Linked DNA regions of Mus musculus. The protein of the gene in region 5 purifies or fractionates together with the protein of the main gene of each other region. This does not show direct contact. Links are inferred from orthologs where the notes say so. Each region holds a gene or a part of one and is shown on either strand. Other genes may lie near its edges.

Region 1 (2,764 bases), on a different chromosome or scaffold from region 5:
GTGGAAAGAACTTGACAAGACCCTTGGAGCTGCCATTCTAATTCTGTTGGGTGTACTTTGCTATATTGCACCACAGCTGGGCCCCGGTTATCTCTGCCATCTCTGGTGCTGGGATAAAATAACCTGGCCAGGGCAGCTTAGGAAAAAAAAAAGGTTTCTTTTCTCAGCAGGAAGCAAGGCAATGAGCTCTCAAAGTCCACCTAGTGATGAACTTCCTGAAGCCAAGATACACTGCCTAAGCCTCCCCAAACAGCACCACCCCCGGGAGCAGAGTCCAGAAGCCTGGGCCTGTGAGGAGCGGACCTCGTTTAGACATTTCTTGTTTTACTTTTGAGATGTTCCATCCCCCTGGAGCTGGAATTGTGGTGTGATTACGGAGATCCAGGGCCTGAGCTCGGGTCCTCTGCAAGAGTGATCTTAAATACCTCAGCCTTCTTTCTAGCCTGACATCTCTCTTTTAAACCATTGCAAGATGACAGTATCCACACAGGGCAGCCCTCTGGAGTGCTAGTGCAAGGCTTTTCCTTTTATTTTCTTAAGCTGCTCACATAAAAGATTCAGTGTTTGATTCAGGGATAGAAAGATTCAATCAATAAAAAGATGGTTTATTTAAAAAAAAAACAGCCTAACAAATCTTAATTTACATGATTTCAGAATCAACATGATCATAGCTGGAATGCTGTAGACGTCTGTCACTTCTATATTTTATTCTCATAGTTACAGTATCCAGTATAGAGAGGTTGTGCAGCTATTCCACGGCTGTAGACAGACAACACAGAGAGATATTTTAGATGGTGGCCTCCTGTCTCATGGCACCTTAGCAAATCCTCCCCCACCTTTGCAATGTTTTAATATTCTAATTTAAGCTATTAACTCCCTTAAGATGGCAGTTATATTGAAATATATCTTCCATGGGCTAGTGACAGTGAATGGAAGAGATCCTAGATCAGGAAGGAAGTGTCTCACCTGACCATTCTGCAGCGGTGCACGGCCAGTCGTTTGTAGGCATTTTCTAGGTCAGTGACAGTTTTAGGGCTCCAGAGTCTCTCACCAACAGCGCTTGCTCGAGGCCTGAATTTTAAAATATGCAGTTTCCAAAGCAGTCTAGACTTTTTTTTTTTCCTTAAGTCAACTGCATAAGGAGATTAGGAGCTCTCTCCTGCTTACATGGAGAATAAAAGCCAAGGCATCCTTCAAGCCAGCTGGCCCCACTTTAATTCCTTACCATAATCTTGGAGTAAGGTTAGTTGCATCCACAAATTCTCCCCACAGGCAAGCTTCTCCACCAATAACAAGTTGTTTCTGCTTCTCAGAGCCTGCATGACGGTGGTTAAGAGAGAGATTAAGCTGTACAACCCTGGTTTCCTTTCCAGAGTCATCCTACATCACTGCTCTGTACCCTCCTGTAGGCAGCAGAGCCTTTACTCCCACCCTGGCTCAGTGCTCTTCCACATAATAGAGGATTGTGGTGAGCCTGGGGCGCAGGTGCTTCTCCTAGGGTCCCCCACATTCAACCCCTCCCTGCATTTCCTATTAGTGGTGTTTGAGAAAATACAAGCTTCATTTCAATGGGTTTACCACTATACTTATTCCTTGGTATTTCATAACAAAACAAGAAAGAGTATTTAAGAACTATTTTTTTATAAATATGTATTTATAAAAATATATTTATATTTATTTATTTATTTTTTGATCCTGAAAATGCTTTCTAGAGAAAGTCATAGTTTCTAGTGGATCAATATTTTTGAAACTTTTAATCATATAATCATTTTCTAAAGACTGAAATACAAAAACTATATAAAATAGAATTGCTAGTAAAGGGACCAAAAGCCTCACTTAGGAGTTACGTGCAACGTAGGTGTCTTTCAAAATTAACGCACTTAGACATCTCAGATACAAAGAGCAACTCCATGAAAACAGGGGCAGAATCTAAGGGCCTGCTATGTATTTCCTTCAGGCTACACGTTGTCGCCCTCAGGACAGTGGACAGTGGAGAAGTATCCAGATTAGATTCAGGAGTGGGAGTTACATGACGCTTGCTTTGCTTACCTTCAAAATTAAGGGGCTCAACTTTGTAGTAGTTTTTCCAGTCTTGCCCATAGCTGATCAGGTCTAAGTACCAAGGAGCAGAAAGGATGGCAGGGAAGCCAGAGCCTGTGACTTGCTTTAGCTCATATGAATAATGCTCACTCTTCCACACTTCGACTACTGTGCCCGGCTGAAGCTGTTAGAGGTACGGATTGCAATCACAGAATTAGGTCCAGTAAATACAATCTTACAGGTTCATGGGCTCATGATTGGTAAACATAAATTTCTAAGATCTTAGAGAAATCATACATCCTTTTTTTCTTGATCAGTGCCATGTGCTATTCACATTAACCTTTAAAGTTGGATATTTAACTTTTGACTATAGCTAATATTTCAGAGATGGGTAAGATTTGCACCTCAAATCTATTTCTACCACAGCAATATTCTACTTAACCTTGAACCATGAGACGTCACCAGCCCCCTAGAAAGGTAACAGTGGCAGCTGGGCTTGTAAGAAATAATTTTGTCAGAAAAAAATACTTCTTAAAAGTATATATTGATTTACCTATTTATTGTGTATATAGCATTCTGCCTGCGTGTAAGCCTGCACTTTAGAAGAGGGCATCAGATCTCATTACAGATGGTTGTGAGTCACCATGTGGTTGCTGGGATATGAACTCAGGACCTCTGGAAGAACAATCAGTGTTCTTAAACCACTGAGCCATCTCTCCAGTCC
Region 2 (4,201 bases), on a different chromosome or scaffold from region 5:
GCCCTCAGCCCTTCCACTTGAAGCAGGGGACAGACCATCTGGCATGAGGGACGGCTGAGGGATGGACTTCAGCCCCTGCTCTGTACCCTTTTTGTTTTTGTCCCCAGCAGTGGGAAGGAGCTGGAGGTCATAGGAGAATGGCCAAACAAAGAGGAGGGGTACTCATTAGACTCTGGGGACAGAGCAGGGATGGGACAGGAGGGGCCAACTGCCTGTCCACAGTGGGACCTTGTTGCTTCCTTCCCCTGCCCCTTGAATCCACAGTGCTCTGCTTCTCTGTGATGGCCCAACCCCTGATGTGGGGCGGGCTCTTACCTGTGTGTGTGTGTGGATGTGGCTTTATGCATCTTTCCAGGGGAGGGAGCGACTGCGCCTCCCCTCCCCTTAAGTGTTTGCTCCCTTGTGGTGGGGCAGAGGAGGCTCTGAGGGAAATAGGACCCTCCCCACACCCTTTGCCCTTCTGCCTCAGCCTCCGGTCTGTCTTTATGGTCCTCTGGAAAAATGCCAAAATACATGATGTGAATAAAAGTACGGGGGCTGACTGGTTTCAGTTCTTTGGGGGAGACTTACTAGTTCTGGGGAGGATTACTGGAAGGGGAAGGTTTAGAGAGGCCCAACTGGGGTCCTTTGCCGTCCCCCCCCCCCAGGCAATTTCCTTTTCTCTAGCTCTAGAAATGCTCAGAAAACTGAGGTGGGGGGATGGGAAATAAAGGGAAAATTCAGAAGCGAGGCTGCATCACCCCCCCCCCCCCAACTGACCATGCACTTGGTCTAGCCCCACTGTTGCTGGGCAAATGAAGGACCTAGGGCAGGGTGGGCAGTCCACACTGACTGATATCAGCTGACTCCTTTACACGGCTGCAGCCAGCCTGCCTCCCTCCCTGCCCCCCACACACTAGTGTCCCACTCTGCTCCATTTGGCCAAGGTCTGACAACTGCAAGGACCCCGTAATCACCAGCGACGTTGGTGACACACTTGGCCCCCTTCCTTGTGATTACTGGAAGGGCTCCTCAACCGTGACTTTGCTTTATGCTATGAGGGAATGGGGCGCTTTCGGAGTTGGAAAGGTGCCCTCAACCCCAGGGTCCAAGGCCCTGCTGCTGTCACCTCCACAGGAAATGCCCCTTGGTCTTCTGAAATCCCAAAAAGTTTGTTTCCCTGAGCGCGAGGTTCAACATCTCAACTGTCGAGCCACTGAGGCAGGACGTTTGAGCCCCCTGAACCCTCTAGAACATTGATTGCTCTAGAACGCCAGAACGTCGAAACACCGGGAGGTGGAGAGGCAGATGGAGGGGAAGGCGGAGCAGCAAGGGGCCGGGCTAACCATGGCGGAGGGCGGGGAGAAGGAGGAGTTCTGCTTCACAGCCATCTATATAAGTGGCCAGTGGAGAGAGCCGTGCGTTTGTACTGACCTTCAGAGACTTGAGCCTGGTACAATGGCGCCTACCAGGAAGTTCTTCGTTGGGGGCAACTGGAAGATGAACGGGAGGAAGAAGTGCCTGGGAGAACTCATCTGCACCCTGAACGCAGCCAACGTGCCGGCAGGCACCGGTGAGCTCTCTGTTTAGCAGGGGCGGCGGGACGTGGGGGTGGAGGGTCGGGCGTGGCACCACCTGCTCAGTGTCTGAGTGGACCTGGATGGTGGCCTGGGGACAAGAGCCATTTGGTGTCCCGGCAGCAGAGACTTGCTGAAGAGGAAAAGCATTTAAATGCTGCACTGGGTTTGTGGGGCCCGAAAGGGGTTCTTGGGGTTGGGGGCAGGGTGCAAAGAAGATCGCCCTTGGGAGTGGACCGGAGCTGCACCAGTTAGGGGTTAGGGTCGAGAAGAAGAACCAGTGTCGGGTTGGATAAGCAAGTGGCACGTGTCCCCCAGATTGTGAGGGAGGAAGCTGAGCTTGCGCGGGCTCTCAGCTACCTGCCCCCTCGGCCTCTGGCTCCGTGCGTCTCTGCACGTAGCCCGAAACTCCTCCCCGCGCCGTCGTATGCTTAGGCCTCTGAGCTGGGGGCTTCCACATCCCTATCCTTCACAGCATGGGCCACTCCTGCCTTCCACCTTAGGCCCCTAGCAGATGCCAAACATGCTGAGCCGTTGGGGAATTAAAAAAAAAAAAAATTCAGCTCTTCTCAGACTGGAAATAGGAAAACACAAGGTCTCTGTGGGCTAGTCAGTTCCCTGCTGCTCACGACACTACCCCTCCATCCTTCCCGCTTCTACCCACCTAAATCGGGGAACCTGGAGAATGGCCAAAGGGTATTCTCTCTGATCATCCATTTCCCGAAGAGCCCAATACAAACTCCCGCGGTGGACCTCTTATGCTAAAAAATCCTTCCCGGGATGGGTATGTGGGATGGGCTATTTTAGAAAGGGGTTACCCCTGGAGAATGCTGAGTCGAGGAGATGCCCATTCCCAGAATAGCCTGAGGAAATTAGAGCCACAGCTGTTAAAAGAGCAGAGGGCAGGGTAAGGGCCGTGGCCTATCAGAGGCATTGGGAAGGCTCTGGTATTGCTACAGGCCTAGCCTGGGCTCTGTAGTGGACAAAGGTCAACTTTCTGGACTGAAAAACGAAGGAAAGTAGAACCAAGAAAGTGAATGCAAGACCGGGAGCCTGAAGAGTGAGGGGCTTTCTCTGATCTCGTCCTCAGAGGTGGTTTGTGCACCGCCCACCGCTTACATCGACTTTGCCAGACAGAAGCTGGATCCCAAAATTGCTGTGGCCGCACAGAACTGCTACAAAGTGACCAATGGGGCCTTCACTGGGGAAATCAGGTGAGATGGAGGCAGAGAGGGATGTAGAGGGAAAACCTTCCTCGTGAGGGCTTCTTGCCGAACTTTGGTGTGTGTTTGTTTTAGCCCTGGCATGATCAAAGACTTAGGAGCCACCTGGGTCGTGCTGGGGCACTCAGAAAGAAGACATGTCTTTGGAGAATCAGATGAGGTCAGTAAACAGGAGGGGAGATAGGGGATGCTTTGATCCTGGGGGAGAGGGTATCTTACCTACCTAGCATTTGTTCTTCAACAGCTGATTGGCCAGAAAGTGAGCCACGCCCTAGCAGAGGGACTCGGGGTGATCGCCTGCATCGGGGAGAAGCTAGACGAAAGGGAAGCCGGCATCACCGAGAAGGTCGTGTTCGAGCAAACCAAGGTCATCGCAGGTATCTCTGCAGACACGGCTCTCTGAGTCTAGCAAAGGCCACAGGGATGGAGGCGGGAGGTCAAAGGTCCCACAGCCTGCCTGAGTCATACTGACCCCGGGGAAAGAGGGCGACCTGAATGGTTCTTGTCACTGTTCCTACAGAAGGCTCAAACCCCACCTTCAAAAGCTAGCAGGGTCTGTGGGTAAAGCCTGAGGCCCTGAGTTTGAGTCCTCCAAAGACAGCCACGTGGTAGGAAAGATCCAGCTTCTACAAGTTGTCCTCTGCCCTCATATGTGTGCTATAGCTTGTACACACGCACGCGCACACACGCACGCACAAGTTGTTTCTAAAAGGGGGAAGGAGAAGCCCACCAGGGGCTGTAGGCCATAACTGTTATAACAGGAGAGCTTGGCGGGTCAGCTCCTTCCTACTCACTCTCCTCTCTGCCCCACAGATAATGTGAAAGACTGGAGCAAGGTGGTCCTGGCCTATGAACCTGTGTGGGCCATTGGGACTGGCAAGACGGCAACCCCTCAGCAGGTAACTACCCAGAGCTCCTCAGCCTGTCCGGCTTTAACAGACTCACACAGCTATGGAGCCCATCCAAGCCCCTTTAGAGACAGAGGGCCCCCAAACTCACCAAGGAGAGTGACTTTGCCAAAAATGTTCATTCCAAGCCTGGTGGGATTGGAGCCTTGCCACTCTCTGGTCCCGGGGCTTTTCTGGAAACTCAACTCTATGTGAGAACCAGTGGTTTTTACTCCTTGAATGATAGATAGGAAGGAGCTTACTTAGTAGCTCTGCCTCCTCCTTCTAGGCACAGGAAGTACACGAGAAGCTCCGGGGATGGCTGAAATCCAATGTCAATGATGGGGTGGCTCAGAGCACCCGGATCATTTATGGAGGTGAGTGGCTTTGGCTCTAGCTAAGACGGAAATGGGCTAAGACAGACTGAGGCTGCCTTGCACAGAGAGGTGGGGCTTAAGTGTTCTGATCATAGACCTGACCAAACTGTCTTCTTGTTCCTGGTACAGGTTCTGTGACTGGAGCAACCTGCAAAGAG
Region 3 (4,133 bases), on a different chromosome or scaffold from region 5:
TGAAGCATTAAGGCTCGAGCGTCCGCACCAAATTTTACATCTTTGGCATAGGCCCGAGTGAGATGAGGAGCCAGTGCCCGGGACACTGGTCTCATCTGGCGAAGGACTGTGGGTAGTCGAAGCATTTCTGGGGAAGGAAAAAAGAAAAATCACTACAAACTTGTCCAACGGTGCTTCAAAACATGGGAGGCTAGATTGGAGCTGGGCTGTCCTCTGCTAACCACCATGCCTGGGCGCTGCAGATTCAGGGCATAATCTGCTAGCCAACTGATCATGGAGGCTGACCCCAAGCCTGACCAACAGCATAAGCACAAAGCACAGAAAACCACATCCCCATGGCCACCCACTCTGCCCTCTCAAGTTAATCTTTCACTGCCAAAGCGGCCTTGGGAGCAGATCCACTCCGAAAAGTGTCCAAAGGAAAAAAATCAAGTTGGTGCAAGCAAGGCAGGTTCTAAATGCAATTGCCTAGAGAACTACAGAAGTACTCATGACGGTGCAAAACCCTCTGAGTGTGTCGCCAGGTATCCACCCGAAGCTACGGTAACACAGCAGCTAGCAAGGCCGGAGGAAAAGACAGTAGGTCAGTCCAGCCTCGCGGCCCCACGTGTCTTCCCGACCAGGAGCCCCGAGCAAGGTCAAAGTGAACACCGGACCGCCGCGGCCACCGGGGACTAAAGGACCCCGACCACCCTCCCACAGAGTCCTGCAGTGCGCCAGGCGCAGGTGGCACCAGAGGGCCCAAGTTGCTTCCACCCTAGCCCGCCCTTGCTCCGGCGCTCGGCCTGGATCGCGTGGTCCCCGCCACACGTGATGAAACCAGCGTGGCCCCGCTGGGCCTGGACAAGTGAGCCGAGCCTGCGGCGTCGCTGCCAGACTTCTCCCCCTAGTCCTCCGTGCTCGGTCCGCGCTGCAAGCAGCCCCCCGCGAGCGCCGGGGCGCCCTGCACGCCGAGGCCGCGTACCTGCGGGGCGGCGGCAGGAGAGCACGAGGCGAGGCAGGCCGTCTGCGGCGAGTGAGGGACCCAGCTCTGGGCGCGCACCGCAATGAGCCCGAGTCCCCTCCCTCCCCGCCCCGCCCCGCGGCCCCGCGTGTGCGCGCGCGCGCCCCCCGCTCTCTCCCACGCCGGGGCCCTGCAATCTGCATGCGGCGCGCGCGGCCCCGCCCTCCGTACCAGAGCCGCCTCAGCTCTGCGGCCTCAGCCCTCTCCCGCCGCCCTACGCTGGTTCCTGGGCCACGGTCCGTTCTAGAACCTTCCGGAAGGCCCCGCGCGTCCCGTGGGTGAAAGGTCAAGTGGCGTCATTTCCGGGAGGGGGGCTCGTTCTTTCACCTCGGCGGCCGGCCTGGAAAAGCCTAGAAAGTGCTCCCCTTTTCTTCCGCCTCCGGCCGCCCGCGTCGGCCCCCTTGCGCGGAGCCCTCGCCACCAATCGGCGCGCGCGTCGGCGTGGCCGCCCCCTCTCACGCTCGGGGGGCTGAGTGCGCCTGCGCGCTGCGCGGCCTTTTCACGTGTCCCAGCCGGCCAGCAGGACTCTCCTTGCAGCAGCGGCCCGAGTTCAGAGTCCGGAGCTGCGGTGGTGGCGGCGAAGGCGAGAGTCATGGTGAGTGTCTCGTGGTTGGCAGGCCTGCGGGTCCAGTTCGGCCTGCGGCCCACGGCGAACCCTTGTGCGCTTTGGGACTAATAGGACAGGGGTCCGGGGTCTGGTCAGTGTCCGGTGTCCGCCCATGGCTCTGCAGAAGCGAGGCCATTTCTCTCTCCACCATGGCTTTGCCGCACGCACGTGTGCGACAAAGCGTCTGGGGCAGGGGGCGGGAACCCGATGCACACGCAGAAGCCCACCTGCCCTGGCAGGGCTTCAGTGGATGTGTCCTATGTTGGAGAAAGACTAAGATCCAGGCTCGAAAAGTGACGCCACTCCCCCGTTATTCGAATTTTTAAAAAAATTAAAGAAATGTTTGACCTTGGAATAGATCAAGGTGGCGATTGCTGATTAGTAATGAAGACCCCCCCCCACCACCACCACCACACACACACACACACCAGACAGGGAAATGAAACTCAGTTTGTCCTATATAGAGTGGAACACTGAGTATATTCTAAAAGTACACTTGAATTTTCTTGTCCTTTTTGGAACAGGTCAGTTTTGACCTGTTGAGAGTTAAGGCTTGCGGTGGTCTTAACTGTTCGTGTTCTGACACTTCGAACTTACACTCTGTTTGATCACATTTCTCTCCACAGGCTGGACAAGCTTTTAGGAAGTTTCTTCCGCTCTTTGACAGAGTATTGGTTGAAAGGAGTGCTGCCGAAACTGTAACCAAAGGTGGCATTATGCTTCCAGAAAAGTCTCAAGGAAAAGTGTTGCAAGCAACGGTCGTGGCTGTGGGGTCAGGAGGGAAAGGAAAGGTAAACTGGTGCCCCTGGAGTGGTACTGAATTCCAGTGTGATGTGGAAGGAGGGGAATTCCTTTGGTAATTAAAAAAATGAATTACAATGGCATTTTTGGGGGGAAGAATTTCAAGTCAAATTTCAATTCACAAAGAACCTCCCATTCAGGAAAATGACTGTTTTATATTGTTTTAGAATTATTTTATGTTTCTGAAGAAAGGCAAAAGGTATTTGTGTGACGTGTTTGCACATGTCTATATGCTGTGTAGCAGGGGCATCTCCACCTTACTCCTTTGGGGTAAAGTGTTGACTAGTCTGGTTTCTGGGCCTCAACATGTTGCGGGTTACAGCCTTTTTACTCTAGTTTTAGGATCCTGGTTTGGGCTCCCCTACTTTCATAGCAAGTCTACTTACCTGTTTACCCACTGAGCTAACTCTGCAGTGCCCCAAGCTCTAGAGGCTGAAAAGTGCCTGCCTTGATGGTGGCTCATGCCTGTGGCCCAGGTTCTTTGGAGCCTAAGGCAGGTGGACTGTAGAATCTTTTTAGGCCAGCAGGAGGTACAGGATGAGACCATGTCCCAAAAAAGTAAAACAAAATCTTACAATATGAAATAACCTCTGTAGCTATTTTATATCCTGTTCTTCAAATTTTAAATAGACAAAAAGATCGCGCAAGTAGATAAACCCCCACGGCCATTTCAGAGCTGAAGGAGGTATTTATTAATAAGGCACAGAACTAATTCTAAGCACAGGTTGGGAGAAGGGTATAGTGCTGAGGTAGAAGGATCCGGAATTGATGGCCTGTCAATTTTGATATAGACCCTGTCTCCCTCTCCCTTCCCCAAAAAGAAAGGGTGAAGTGGCAGGGGTGGGGGAGCCCAGACACTGAAATAGTTTTAATCTTACACCATTGAGTTTTAGTTGGCATGAGACTTGAGAAGGGAGGTGGAACTACTGTGGGTGTTCTTTACTTAACTAAATCGCGAGAGTATTAGGGGGAGTAGACATTCCACTTCAGTCTCTTGATAGATAACAAGGGCATTCAGTCAGTAAATGTATATTAAACGGAGAAAGGTAATGCCGAATTTTTGTTGAAAGGAATCATACATGATCATTTACCGTCTGGTGGTACAAGCTGCTTTATTTTACTTGGTCTACAGGGTGTGTTAATATTTAACAGTAGAAAGTTAGCCAGCCTTAGTTGTCCACTGAAATGAAGTTTTAGTGAGTGTCTCCTTCATATTGTAACTATGCAATTCTTATATTGTAGGGATCTATATTTAATGTAAATTATATTGCTTAACCACTAATTAGGTACCTAAGAACATACTGGTTTGGGCACATTTCATTAATTTAGTGATTTAAAAGTTACAGAGTTTAATGTGACTGGTTAATGCCTATAATACAAACCTGAGGCAGGAGGCCCCTGGTGTGCATACTGAAACAAAAAGTTCACTGTGTGTCTAATGAACAAGACAAGCAGACTCTTGGCTAACAAGTGACTGTTTTCATCAGAGTGGAGAGATTGAGCCTGTCAGTGTGAAAGTTGGAGATAAAGTTCTTCTCCCAGAATATGGAGGCACCAAAGTAGTTCTAGATGACAAGGTAAGTCAAGCTAAGAATTTTTATTTTATCTATTTTTTTTTTAATTTCGGGGGAGGGGGTGGTTCAAGACTGGGTTTCTCTGTGTAGCCTTGGCTGTCCTGGAACTCACTCTGTAAACCAGGCTGGCCCCGAACTCAGAAATCCA
Region 4 (3,929 bases), on a different chromosome or scaffold from region 5:
TGTATATTTTGCTTTTGAAGGTGTGTGCCACCATGCCATATCCTATTCATTCTACCACTTCTACCATCAGGACATAAGATCCTGGGTTTCTGTTTCTTTTTTTAAGGTTTATTTATTATTAGTAGATAAGTACACTGTAGCTGTCTTCAGACACCCCAAAAGAGGGTGTCAGATCTCATTACGGATGGTTGTGAGCTACCATATGGTTGCTGGGATTTGAACTCAGGACCTTTAGAAGAACAGTCAGTGCTCTTACCCTCTGAGCCATCTCGCCAGCCCAAGATCCTGTCTTTTATTATTATTTTTTTTATTTTATGTGTCTGTGCACCGAGTGTGCTTGGTACCCCAGGATGTGGTGAGCATAGACTTGGGTGATAGGGCTAGAATTTGCTCTTTTGCAAGAACAAGTGCCCTTAACCACTGAGCCAACTCTCCAGTTCATCTTGTATACATGTTTATCTGTGTACCATGTGCACGCCTGGTGCAGGAAGAGGTCAGGAGAGAGCATCAGATTCCCCGAGACTGGAATTATAGATGATTATGAGCCACCATGTAGATGCTAAGAATCCAGCCCCGGTCCTCGGAAAGAGCAGCCAGTGCTTTTACCTGCTGAGCCATCTCTTCAGCCCTGGCATGGGACTTTAATGTTTATCCCACAAAGATGCTGGAGCAGACAATTCATTCATGCTGGGCAGAGCTGAGGCAGCCTTTCCATTTGTGAATACTCACCTTCCCCATGCTCGTCTGTATACTGAAAGGCCTGGACTAGGCGGAGAGCCTCGTCTACAGAGCGTCCCACAGGTAGGTCATTGACTGTGATCTGGCGAAGGACACCCTTGGCATCGATGATAAAGAGACCCCTGAAGACATGAGGGCCCACAGTGAGGATCTGGGAGACCACCTGCTGCCAGAACAGGAAGGGGACACTCCCACACACACCCCCACCAGACACAGTGGTCCCTTTAGCTTTGAGGAGGGGGCTCCTGGAGCTGGGCTGAGGTCCCTGCTGTACCTGTAAGCAATGCCCTCATCATTTTTCAACACGCCGTAATTCTGGGACAAGCTTTTAGTCACGTCAGCAAGCAGAGGGATATTCAGGGGGCCCAAGCCTCCCTCCTTCCGTGGGGTATTGATCCTGAAGGTGAGAGAGACATGGTTGGTGCCTTAGGATGCCCAGGATAGTAGAAGTCTCCCCCATGGGCCTCCAGAGTGATAAGGGCTGGAGTGGGAGTGCTGGAGACAGGAGATAAAGGACTTAAAGCAAGGCCGGGGTGCTCCACCCACCCCACCCAGTGGGATGGCAGTGCAGCTGGGAGGAGAATGGCTCCAGATAAAGCATCCTCTTCAAATGGCTTCACTTGTGCCCGTGGGCTCCAGCAACTTGCAGTAGAGACCCCGTATGAAAGTGATTAGCCAACAGCAGACATGGAGCTCAGAGGCAGGGCACTTGCCTTGCAAGAATGAGCCCTGGAATTATTGACTTCTAGTTCTGAAAGACTTGTGTGTGCGCGCACACAGGGGGATTCTTCCCATCACCATCTAGCTCTGGTATGGAGCACAACCCATCATTATTGAGAATAGCAAAATACAGCAAGGCAGCCTGTCTCCAGAGAACTGAGACTCCTTTGGCAGGTACCTTCCAACAAGGTGCCAAATGCTAATTACTATCATCTTCGTGTGGGCTTGGGTGTCATTGTTTCCATTCTTTATAAGATGAAAAACGGGAAGACACAGTTTGTCCCTATAATTTGGGCGGTCCTTCATCCTCTCTGCACCTCCCACTTCACCACCTACCTCAAGACCCCTGCAACCCTCCTCCTGCAGCCCCTTACCACGCCAGGTGGGTGAACTGAGAGTCCACAGACACTCCCAGCACCTCGCAGCCTAGCTTTCGGAAGTCCTCAGCATGGTCGCTAAAAGCGATGATCTCCGTGGGGCAAACAAAAGTGAAGTCCAGTGGGTAGAAAAAGAGGACCACGTACTTCCCTAGGGAAGAGGAGAACGGAAGGGAAGTCAGTGCTAACTTCTTTCACATGTAGACCCTGACCCCACCTGCTCCCACTCCGCTCAGCCTCACCTCTGTAGTCCGAAAGCTTGATTTCCTTGAAGGCACCATCCACCACCGCTGTGGCCGTGAAGTCAGGAGCCGACTTTCCGATTTGCGCGTTGCCGGAGGCCATGACTGAAATCAGAGACCCACACAAGCTTGGTCTTTAGAGCCTTAGAAGATCCTTTGTCTTGCCTTTCCAAGGTCACTTTTGGTGCTAAGTCTAGATAGTAAAACCGAGAGAGGTGGAAGGAGCGCTCATATTCACCCTCCCAGTATAAAGTCTGCAAGGCCTCTGAATACCCGCCCCCCTAAACAGGGAACGAATGATGGGTCACCGCTGCTACCCAAATTATGGAGTCAGACCGAGTGCGGGTGGAGGGGGAAGTGAGCTCCTAGTTCCAGAATAGGACGGCTAAGCTAAGAGCGATGGACTGCCGAGCTCGGTGATCCAGCCTGCAAGCCAGGGCTCGGGCCTTGGTTTCCCGGGCAAGGACAAAGCGGCCACCATTGAACATGGAAAACAAAGACCTCCAAGCATAGAGGTCGTGATGAGGCCTGCACCACACTAGTGGGGCTCCTCCCATTCGTGTGCATTCTGGGTTTTCATACCTGCGTGAGCAAGAGCCGGACACACGGACGTCCAGACACGGGTAGAGACAGGAAAGAGATCTCAAAACCGAGAGAGCCCTAGGCCGGAGAACCTTTTATGCGTGGCCCAAACCACACCAGGCAGTGCGCGGGGAGGTGGGCGGGACAGCGCCGCGGTCGGATCCATTGCGGCTGCCGGGGGGGTGAGGGGAAGGCGCCGCGTGGCCCGGTCCACACGCTTTCACAAGGGTTGGGTGGGGTGTGCCCTTTCGGACGCCAAGATTGTCTGTGCTGTGGGCTCCTCGCGAGCCTCGGCCACGGGGCGCGTTGGGGTCGGTTGGAATCCGGGCATGGCCCGGAGCCACTTGGCTCCGTTGCTGACTCCCCTAGTGCTCCTAGGTCTGGTGTCCCCTACTCAGATCGACCCAGACTACCAATACTTTGGCCCGCACGGTGAAGGTGATACCTGGGAGCTGCTGACGCTGCAGCGACAAAAGGGTAAACTAGCAGGTGGACGGGAGTTACGCTATGAAAAGGTGTCCTCCCCACCCCAACCCCCGAAGGCCTCACTTGGCCAAGGCCCTACAAACAGACCCTCTCTGGCTGACTTCAGATCCCTGCCCAGCTCAGTGCAGGCTGGGTCTCAAGGAACTGGGCACTTTTTCTCTGAGTGTGATTTCTCGTCTGTGAGTTATTGTTTTGTTTTATTTTGTTCCGTTTCACTTTATTGAAAATTTACAGCCATGCCCCAACCGTACTACCTTTTGTTCTCAACTTCTTGCCCCGCAGCTTCCTTGGTCATCTGATAATTATATTAAACACTGCCTGTCTAATAAACAACCTATTAACATAGTGCTAGAAGGGTGGAGGCAGAGAAAGAAACTGGCCAGTCAGCTTGAGGTGGTAAGAACCAACACAGCTGGAATGACTAGCACAGTTAAAGTCACAGGGACTGTGAGACAGTGAAAAGGGAACAGCAAAAGGCCTAAGGGAAGAATAGGGAAAGGGGATGCCATTTGGCAAAGATCTGCTGAGGAAGGGTGTGGGGCACCAGCCTTTGTGAGTTCATCTACATGAGGAAGTATCAGTGAAGAATTCTGATGAAGGGTTGGGATTGCATTTGGTACTCAGTTGGTGGAGCACTGGCCCAGCATGTCCGAAGTTTTGATCCTTCCCCAGCGCTGCATAATCCACTGTACCCGTACACACCTACAATCCTAGCATTTGGGAGGAGTAGGGACCTGAAATTCAAAGACATCTTTGGCTACCCAAGGACTTGGAGGCCAGCTTG
Region 5 (4,239 bases):
GGCAGGAGGATCTTAAATTCAAGTTTAGTCCCTATCTCAAAAATTAAAAAAGAACCCCTCTAACCCCAGCAACTGAGAGGCAGAGGCCAGGGAGATCTCTGTGAGTTCAAGGTCAGCCTGTCTGTTCTACACAATGAGTTCCATGAGAGCCAAAGGTACACAGTGTGATATTTTTAAAAAGGTATGTGTGTCTTTTTTTTTTTCAAATTTTTATTATTTTCTTCATTTACATTTCAAATGCTATCTGGGGAGTCCCCTATACCACGCCCCCCTGCTCCCCTCCCCACCCACTCCCACTTCTTGGCCCTGGCATTCCACTGTACTGAGGCATATAAATTTGCAAGACCAAGGGCCTCTCCTCCCAGTGATTGTCGAGTTGGCCATCTTCTGCTACATATGCAGCTAGAAACACGAGCTCCGGAGGTACTGGGTAGTTCATATTGTTGTTCCACCTATAGGGTTGTAGACCCCTTCAGCTCCTTGGGTACTTTCTCTAGCTCCTCCATTAGGGGCCCTGTGTTCCATCCAATAGATGACTGTGAACATCCACTTCTGTATTTGCCAGGCACTGGCAAAGCCTTACACGAGACAGCTATATCAGGGTCCTTTCAGCAAAATCTTGCTGGCATACGCAATAGTGTCTGCATTTGGTGGCTGATTATGGCACGGATCTCCAGGTGGGGCAGTCTCTGGATGGTCCATCCTTTTGTCTCAGCTCCAAACTGTGTCTCTGTAACTCCGTCCATGGGTATTTTGTTCGTTATTTTAAGGAGGAATGAAGTATCCACACGTTGGTCTTCCTTCCTCTTGATTTTCTTGTGTTTTGCGTGTGTGTGTGTGTGTGTGTGTGTGTGTGTGTGTCTTAACTGGCAGAGCACTTGTCTGTCATGCAGGGGGCGGGGTGGGGGGTGGGGACTGTCTAATCTCCAGCTCTAGTAACAAAAATAAAAGAAGTAAAAAATAAGTAAGAAACGGGGGTGTGTCTAGAGATAGAACATGGGCTTTACACATTTTAGACATCATGAGAAAATAAAGCTGGAAATGACACTGGGCATCCATCTTGGCGCATCTCAACTTTCACACTGCAACCGAGGCGCGCTGTGCAAAGTCAGTGACAATCCGCATTTCCAGACACAGTGGGTTCAGACCTTCCAGGCGCGCACGCGGGCCTCGTGTTCTCGGTTTCCGCGGCGACTCGGCCGACGTCACAGTTAGAAGACAATAGCGACTTTCCCCGCTCAGGCTCCTCGGGAACTTTCTCAGTCCGCACGCTCCAGGAGCCGGAGCTACCCTCCGCCCCGCCCCCAGCGTGCCCCGCGGCCAGGGAGCTCCACGAAGGGCGGGCGGAGGCCGCGGGTAGCGATTGGTTCCGTGCCAAGGTGGGCGTGGTCAGACTCAGGCCTATAAAAGCTCCGTGGCGCCAGGGCCTCGTTTTTTTGCGCGGTCCTTTCCTGCGGCGCCTTCCGTCCGTCGGCTTCTCGTCTTGCTCTCTCTGGTCCCTCCGGAGGAGGCCGCCGCGCGTCTCCCGGGGAAGCATGGCGATGAAAGCGGTGTGCGTGCTGAAGGGCGACGGTCCGGTGCAGGGAACCATCCACTTCGAGCAGAAGGCAAGGCCCGGGGCGCGGGGCGCAGGCCGCGGTGACGCGGCGCACCTGTGCGGGAGCACGCCACGCCCCCGCCACGGCCTGAGCCCGCTAAGTGCTGAGTCACCGTGGCCTGGGGCAGGGGCTGGGCGCCGGGAAGCGAGGCCCGGGGCGCCGCGGGGCCTTCCGGGCGGGCGGGGGCCTCCCCGCGCCCCGGAGCGGCTGGGCCTGCCCGGGAGAGCCGGCTTGGCATCCGTTATCCTTCTGGGGCTGCTGCTTTTCCGGTGTCCGTGTCCCACAGGCTCAGAGCCCCGTGGCCACCGGCTGCGATTGTTGTAAGAATATTTGAACCCGGTGGTGCCAGACCGGACTAAGGCCGCAGGACGCGTTTGCGGCACTTTAAAGCAAAGTCCTGGGCTGTTCTGTACTAGGTCAGGGTCGTGTCGCAAGGCGGAAAGAAAGAGATGGCCTTGGACAGCCGTCCCTTGCTTTGCACTCCAGAGAGAGACCCGGCTGTGGGTTTTTTCTACCACAGCGAGTTTCTGAGCACATTTTGGAAAAGTACATAGAGATATTTTCGAAAATACTGTGACCCTGCAAAAACACATGCGTCACAGGGAAGATGTGTGTGGTAAGGTTGTGTCCAGAGCCTTAGGGAGGTTACCGTTGTTGTATTCACCTTAATCCCGAGAGAATATTTGATAAATGAGCGTTATGTGCTCTCTGAAGTGGTGGACATACGTGTGAGAAGGCAGACACCATAGTGAATCCCAAGTGTTTGGTTTACGACGAGAACTGATAACGGCAATTTAGAGTTTTTCGTAACTAGCCTCGTTTCCAGCAGTTTCTTGGCATTGAAATGCGTTTTGTTGTTTTCCTGTGGAAGTTTTTTGTTTTTGTCTTTTTCTCCTCCCCACGTAATTCACTGTGAGAAAGACGAAGTTCGGCTGGGTCTTACCCCTGTGTGTGGGTTTCTGTCATCTTCCACCATGCCATGCCAGAGCAGCTCGCACTATTTTTGTGACGCTGCAAACTACACATCGCTGGTGCCCTTTGTACCCAATGAAACGATAGTTAAGCATTCCAGATTGGCAGTTGTAATCAAAGCTGGTTGATTTAACCTGTTGCCAACTTTTCAGAATCAGATTTTTCTACCCAAAGTTCATATTCCCTTATTCTGTTGCAAAAGTTGGACATTTAAAAAAAAAAAAACCTAAAAAATGATTGTCCTTGCTTGTTGGTCGGTTGCTCTTACATTTTCTCCCTATTGCTACACTTTCTGGAGCAGTACTAATTTGAATTTTGGGTGTTCTTTTCTTTTTTGTTAAGTGGCAAATTTTCTAGATTTGGATAGCTAATGAGATTTTTTTTTTAAGGTAGCTCTGGTTAGACCCAAATGGATCTCCACAGGCAGTAGGACAAAGGCATTTTCTGACCACTAAATAAAAATAGGGGAACTGATAAAATCACTGAATGTGGAGAACAGGGTTCTCGGCAGCCAGTGTTCTGTAAGAGTCAAGTCTGACAGTGCAGTAGCCATCTCTTCCCCAGGCCTGGCATTCAGTAGCCCCTGTTTGTTCCACCTGGTGCTTTCTAAATGCTGTTCAGTCCAGGTGCCTGCACACATGGCATCTGGCAGCAAGTGTTAGGAGAAGTGTGACAGGGAGAGAGAGGCCTAGAGCTGAGCGTCTCCAGAGCCACCCTGTAGGAAGTGGGTCTACTTGGATCTGAACATAGGTTTGATTTTCACTGTTGTGTGTTTTGACTTGAGCTTTTTACTGTGCTTGGTTAGGGTGTAACCCAGCAACAGCCCTGGTGCAGGAGTATTTACACTCAAACTTGATGTCTTCATTTTTGTATTTTTTTAAATCAAGGCAAGCGGTGAACCAGTTGTGTTGTCAGGACAAATTACAGGATTAACTGAAGGCCAGCATGGGTTCCACGTCCATCAGTATGGGGACAATACACAAGGTAGGTCCTAGGCTGGCTAGTGACCAGTGATGGAAAGGAACTGAGTCAGGACCCAATTACTAACCATTTAAAACTATCTCGTTTGTTTTCTTTTTCTTTTAGATAAAGTTAAAATGACCACTTAGGTCAACCTTGGAAAGTAGCCACAAAAGTATTTTATTTAGTATCAAGTATTGCTTGCTTCCTTAAGTGTGGGAAGGTAAAGAAGGTGATTTTTCTTCATTGTAATTATAATTAAGCAGCACCTTGCTTATTCTGGGTGTTTATTGGGTGCTTATTTGGGTGTTTGGAGCTGGGCGTTGAGGATGGATGCATTAGGCAGAGTGTCTAAGGACAACCATGCCTTAGCATGAGAGGCATAGCGGGACAGAAGTGACAAAAACTGAAGATTCAATATAAATGCTTAAGTAAGATTTATTTTCTCTATTTGGGATTAGAATCAAGTCAGTAAAAAGTAGTGGCTTAAATTGCAGTTAGTGAACTTTTACCATATTGGAGTAATGATCTGAATTTGCTTACCGTCATTTAAGAGCCTCATCCATGTTGCGAGAGCCTTTTCCTTTCCTCTCCTTCTCCCCTGCCTTCTTCCCTTCTCCACATAGCCCACGGTGGCCTGGAATTTAGTCTTGTGTGTGCTGTGTTAAAGGCATGTACCATCAACCTGTGTGCTATGTGCCATAATTTG
Region 6 (3,500 bases), on a different chromosome or scaffold from region 5:
ACTTAGCAAAATATAGATAAATAATAAAATGAAGAGCTAAGGTATATGCATGCTCTCTCTCTCTCTCTCTCTCTCTCTCCCTCTCTCTCTCTCTCTCTCTCTCTCATGACTGCTCAGTGCTGAACTGGCAATATCAACATGTCATTCCATGAGGGGCTGTTGTCTTCTGGGAGATCTGAATTTTAAATTATGTTTTTCATTGAACAGCTCTCTAGGATGCAGGTCTTTTTGGAAGTGCTACTAAACTTAGAGTATTTTATCCTTGTAAATAAGAATTTTAGCTATGCAAATGATAGGTCACAAAGACTATTAGACGTGTGTGTAAAGTATTGTAGTTTTGAAAACCCTGGAACAATGTTTTATTGTCCTTGAATTTCAAAGAGTAACATACTAGGAATTTGAAAACACTGAGAAATTTTTTTAAAAAAATTATCATTGATGAATAAATGATCTTAAAAACAAAACTTTTAAAAGACCTTACAGGGATACCACGGCAGTAGCCCACGCAGCTCTATCGGGGTGCTACCGCTGGGTGCCTGGCTGGGCCTGATAATCTCTTGGTGCCCTAAGCGATCTGAGTCCCCCCCACCCTCTGGGTACTGTCTGAGGGCCCAGGTCTCAGCCAAGCCTGGCTCTACGCCAACACAGCCTCTGGGAACTAAAGCCCTTCTCTCTACACTGGCTTGTTCTATTATGTTGAGGTCAGAAAATGATCCTTCACGGGGAATTATTTCAAGCAACTGTAGGGAATAATTAACTCACATCTATGGTTCTAGGCCAGATAAAATGTTCTTAAACATGCACCTCATTCTCTGAGACACATCACCTCAGAGTGAATCACTTCTGGGTGCGGCTACGCCAGCCCTAAAGCTCAATAGCTGTCATCCCAGTGACCCTGGACTGGAGGCTGGGTACTGGAAGGATTGGGGCTCTCCCAGAGACTAACTTTGAAGCCCCCCCTGTCCCCGCAAAGAACTTCCTGCGAACAGTAGGTACTCTCCAGTGTGTAGGGAGAGCAGTCAAGCTTCGTGCAGCTGCCTGTCCTCAGAGGGACCTGGCTGTGGCCACTCTTCTGTGGCGTTGGCCTTCAGGGAAGTGGGATGTCCCTGGCTATGGGCCAGTCCCCTCCAGTTTTCCTCGGAAGCTCTTTGCCCACAGGGTACCTGGGGACTATGGGTGTGCCTTCTGGACACTCCGAGCAAGACCGGAGGATCTAGGTGAGAATTCTCCCTAGTTACTTCATCCTCACGCCTCTCCCATTCACAGGGATGAAAATTATCGAGCTGAAAATTAGCACTCAGCCTCGCTCCCACATGGTGGCCCGGAGGTACTGTTCTGACCAGTGGCTACGCCTAGCAGCCTGTACACTGTGCTTCCGAGACACAACCTGTCCACGGCAGATCACATGGCTGAAATCTGTCCTGAGGGCACTGGGAGTTCTACAAACCGCCACCAGGTTTAGCTGGAATAGCTAAACCTACCTACCAGGCTGTACCCACACACTGCAGTCTCTTTACCCGCCAATGGGAGGTGACCCAAGGACCCCGGAGACCTCTGGAACACAATTTGATCCTCTTCAAATGCAAGGGCAAGGAGTCCAGGCCAAGCTTCTTGGTGCCAGTCAGACATGGGGGTGGGAGGCAGGCTCCTCTGCTACTGCCAGGGTCCAGGCACTGGACTGAGTCTGTGTGGTAGCTCATGTACTCAGAGCAAACCTGGCCTGGAAGCCAGACTCTGGGGTGGCTCCCTCTGTCCTGTAAGTCTCTCATCTGAAAAGGTGCTGCCTGTATCACCAGCTTCGGGGCTTTGAGAGCAGAAGACGGAACGTATTTATCTTACTTAGCCCCAGTCAGGCAAGAAGAGCAGCCAGGGGGCAATGTGGGCCGGCTCAGCCTGAGCCACTGAGGCCCCCCTCTCAACGTTACCAAGTAGGGAGCGGGGGTTACCTGGCTTTGTCAAAGTATTTGCCTGTGTATGCCATCCCGCAAGCAGCTCCCAGGCCCTGGCCCAGGGAGCCAGTGGCCACATCGGTGAAGGCTTGTTTCTGTCACAAGAGAGATCCGGAGTTATTCAAGGGTCCAGTAAAGAGCTGTTTGTTTCCAACTTACATTCCCCTCCCCCACCATGTCAGTCAGGGCAGCATCCGCACCCAGAGCCAGTGAGTGCATCCCTCTCCGCAGAAGAAGGCCCTTCTTATTCAGACAGCAAAACCACTATGGGAGTGGGTTCAGTTCCAAACCCTGTCCCCTAGTGAACTATGTGACGTCAGGCTGGAAACTAAACCTCTCTGAACTTTAATGGCCTTGTGTATAAGCACAGCTTACCACATACAGAAGCTAGAGGTCAGCGATAGAGAAAATATAATAGATGATAGAGAGCATCCGGCCTTAGTGAACACCGACATCGCAGTGTGCCAGCGATGTGCCAGCACGTGCTGGGAGCAATTTGGTACAAACGGCTTCATTGCCTAGGTGCCTCTGTACCCACGGTACCACCTCTTTAAGTCTCTCTAGGGACCTCTCTTCTTGAGTGATAGTACCTACTCATGGCTCAGGGGCTCGTGGGGGGAGGGGGGGGTAAGGGAAGCTCGGGGTTCATCCTTGGTCAGTACAAGAACTTGCCCCGTGCTGGGGAGCACACAACGTGCTCCCATCCCTCACTTTCCCTCCTCATCATAGTTGGCTCCCCTGCCTCATTCCTCTCCCTTGCGCCTAGGACAGGAAGATGAGGCCGGGGTCCAGGAGGCTGCCCGTCAGGGGACTTACCGGGACAGGATGCCCGTCCAAGTCAGAGCTGATCTTCCTCAGGTTCAGCAGCTCGGCCTCGGGTAGGAAGCCAGCTTCAGCCCAGACTGCATATAAAATGGGAGCTGCATGGCCCTGTGGGGGTGGGGAGGATGCACAAGGAGGCGGTCACGGGCAGAGCCGCTGGGATCATTCCTACAGCGCATGGGCAGGGCCGCTGGGTTCATTCCTACAGCGCATGGGCAGAGCTGCTGGGATCATTCCCACCACGCGTGGAGCTTGGGGTCTGGCCGAGCAGGCCAACCAGGATATCCATTTCAGATGAGGAAGCCAGAGAAGAGAAGGCTTCTCCCCTTTCATTCCTCTCCAGATTCTTGGTTTCCAGCCCAAAGTTCCCACAGTCAAAAGTGGGTAGACGCCATGTCAGACAGGTGCAGGGTCACAGCTGTGCAGCCGCGGGAGTCCAGCACTCCAGCAGGCAGCAGCCACCCTAATCCTCGTTTCTGGCATGGAACATACTTGGACGGAGTTTTAAGCCCTACAGCCTGCCCTGGGAAGCGAGAGGCTGTCGAGCCAGGCCAGAGGACAGGTGGATTTGGGGGCAATTGTGGTATGGTCTGTGGCTGTGATTTTTACTAGAAGAGGAAAGGCAGGGTATCTGTACTCCCAAACTGCAGTGGAGTGTCACTCATAAGGAGAGCAAGCCTTGGTCCCCAGGATGCTAGCACAACAGGATTCAGGCAGAAGATAAGAAGG

Evidence for each region.
Region 1: the proteins of Sod1 (region 5) and Hexb purify together in Homo sapiens (affinity purification with mass spectrometry; 3 studies listed by BioGRID and IntAct, with this or other methods). This does not show direct contact. The link is inferred for Mus musculus from reciprocal best matches to the Homo sapiens genes SOD1 and HEXB.
Region 2: the proteins of Sod1 (region 5) and Tpi1 purify together in Homo sapiens (affinity purification with mass spectrometry; 3 studies listed by BioGRID, with this or other methods). This does not show direct contact. The link is inferred for Mus musculus from reciprocal best matches to the Homo sapiens genes SOD1 and TPI1.
Region 3: the proteins of Sod1 (region 5) and Hspe1 purify together in Homo sapiens (affinity purification with mass spectrometry; 3 studies listed by BioGRID, with this or other methods). This does not show direct contact. The link is inferred for Mus musculus from reciprocal best matches to the Homo sapiens genes SOD1 and HSPE1.
Region 4: the proteins of Sod1 (region 5) and Prdx2 fractionate together in Homo sapiens (co-fractionation; 3 studies listed by BioGRID, with this or other methods). This does not show direct contact. The link is inferred for Mus musculus from reciprocal best matches to the Homo sapiens genes SOD1 and PRDX2.
Region 6: the proteins of Sod1 (region 5) and Tkt purify together in Homo sapiens (affinity purification with mass spectrometry; 3 studies listed by BioGRID, with this or other methods). This does not show direct contact. The link is inferred for Mus musculus from reciprocal best matches to the Homo sapiens genes SOD1 and TKT.

Annotation. Positions count from the first base shown.
Region 1 is NC_000079.6:97,175,831-97,178,594, forward strand, and holds the end of Hexb (beta-hexosaminidase subunit beta precursor), read right to left. Parts: exon of another isoform or gene 2,225-2,764; coding exon 2,050-2,224; exon of another isoform or gene 1,317-2,049; coding exon 1,226-1,316; exon of another isoform or gene 1,072-1,225; coding exon 967-1,071; exon of another isoform or gene 760-966; coding exon 699-759; 3' UTR 501-698; downstream 1-500. UniProt on the Homo sapiens protein: Hydrolyzes the non-reducing end N-acetyl-D-hexosamine and/or sulfated N-acetyl-D-hexosamine of glycoconjugates, such as the oligosaccharide moieties from proteins and neutral glycolipids, or from certain mucopolysaccharides.
Region 2 is NC_000072.6:124,811,359-124,815,559, reverse strand, and holds the start of Tpi1 (triosephosphate isomerase), read left to right. Parts: upstream 1-1,401; 5' UTR 1,402-1,437; coding exon 1,438-1,552; intron 1,553-2,646; coding exon 2,647-2,770; intron 2,771-2,854; coding exon 2,855-2,939; intron 2,940-3,023; coding exon 3,024-3,156; intron 3,157-3,592; coding exon 3,593-3,678; intron 3,679-3,955; coding exon 3,956-4,043; intron 4,044-4,172; coding exon 4,173-4,201. UniProt on the Homo sapiens protein: Triosephosphate isomerase is an extremely efficient metabolic enzyme that catalyzes the interconversion between dihydroxyacetone phosphate (DHAP) and D-glyceraldehyde-3-phosphate (G3P) in glycolysis and gluconeogenesis.
Region 3 is NC_000067.6:55,086,815-55,090,947, forward strand, and holds the start of Hspe1 (10 kDa heat shock protein, mitochondrial), read left to right. Parts: upstream 1-1,333; 5' UTR 1,334-1,595; coding exon 1,596-1,598; intron 1,599-2,236; coding exon 2,237-2,401; intron 2,402-3,898; coding exon 3,899-3,988; intron 3,989-4,133. Other genes in the region: Hspd1 (60 kDa heat shock protein, mitochondrial), read right to left, coding at 1-125. UniProt on the Homo sapiens protein: Co-chaperonin implicated in mitochondrial protein import and macromolecular assembly. Together with Hsp60, facilitates the correct folding of imported proteins.
Region 4 is NC_000074.6:84,968,493-84,972,421, reverse strand, and holds the start of Prdx2 (peroxiredoxin-2), read right to left. Parts: upstream 2,801-3,929; 5' UTR 2,660-2,800; intron 2,271-2,659; exon of another isoform or gene 2,183-2,270; 5' UTR 2,181-2,182; coding exon 2,078-2,180; intron 1,987-2,077; coding exon 1,833-1,986; intron 1,136-1,832; coding exon 1,013-1,135; intron 861-1,012; coding exon 730-860; intron 1-729.
Region 5 is NC_000082.6:90,219,323-90,223,561, forward strand, and holds the start of Sod1 (superoxide dismutase [Cu-Zn]), read left to right. Parts: upstream 1-1,439; 5' UTR 1,440-1,535; coding exon 1,536-1,607; intron 1,608-3,457; coding exon 3,458-3,554; intron 3,555-4,239. UniProt on the Homo sapiens protein: Destroys radicals which are normally produced within the cells and which are toxic to biological systems.
Region 6 is NC_000080.6:30,559,131-30,562,630, reverse strand, and holds part of Tkt (transketolase), read right to left. Parts: intron 2,880-3,500; coding exon 2,766-2,879; intron 2,045-2,765; coding exon 1,947-2,044; intron 1-1,946. UniProt on the Homo sapiens protein: Catalyzes the transfer of a two-carbon ketol group from a ketose donor to an aldose acceptor, via a covalent intermediate with the cofactor thiamine pyrophosphate.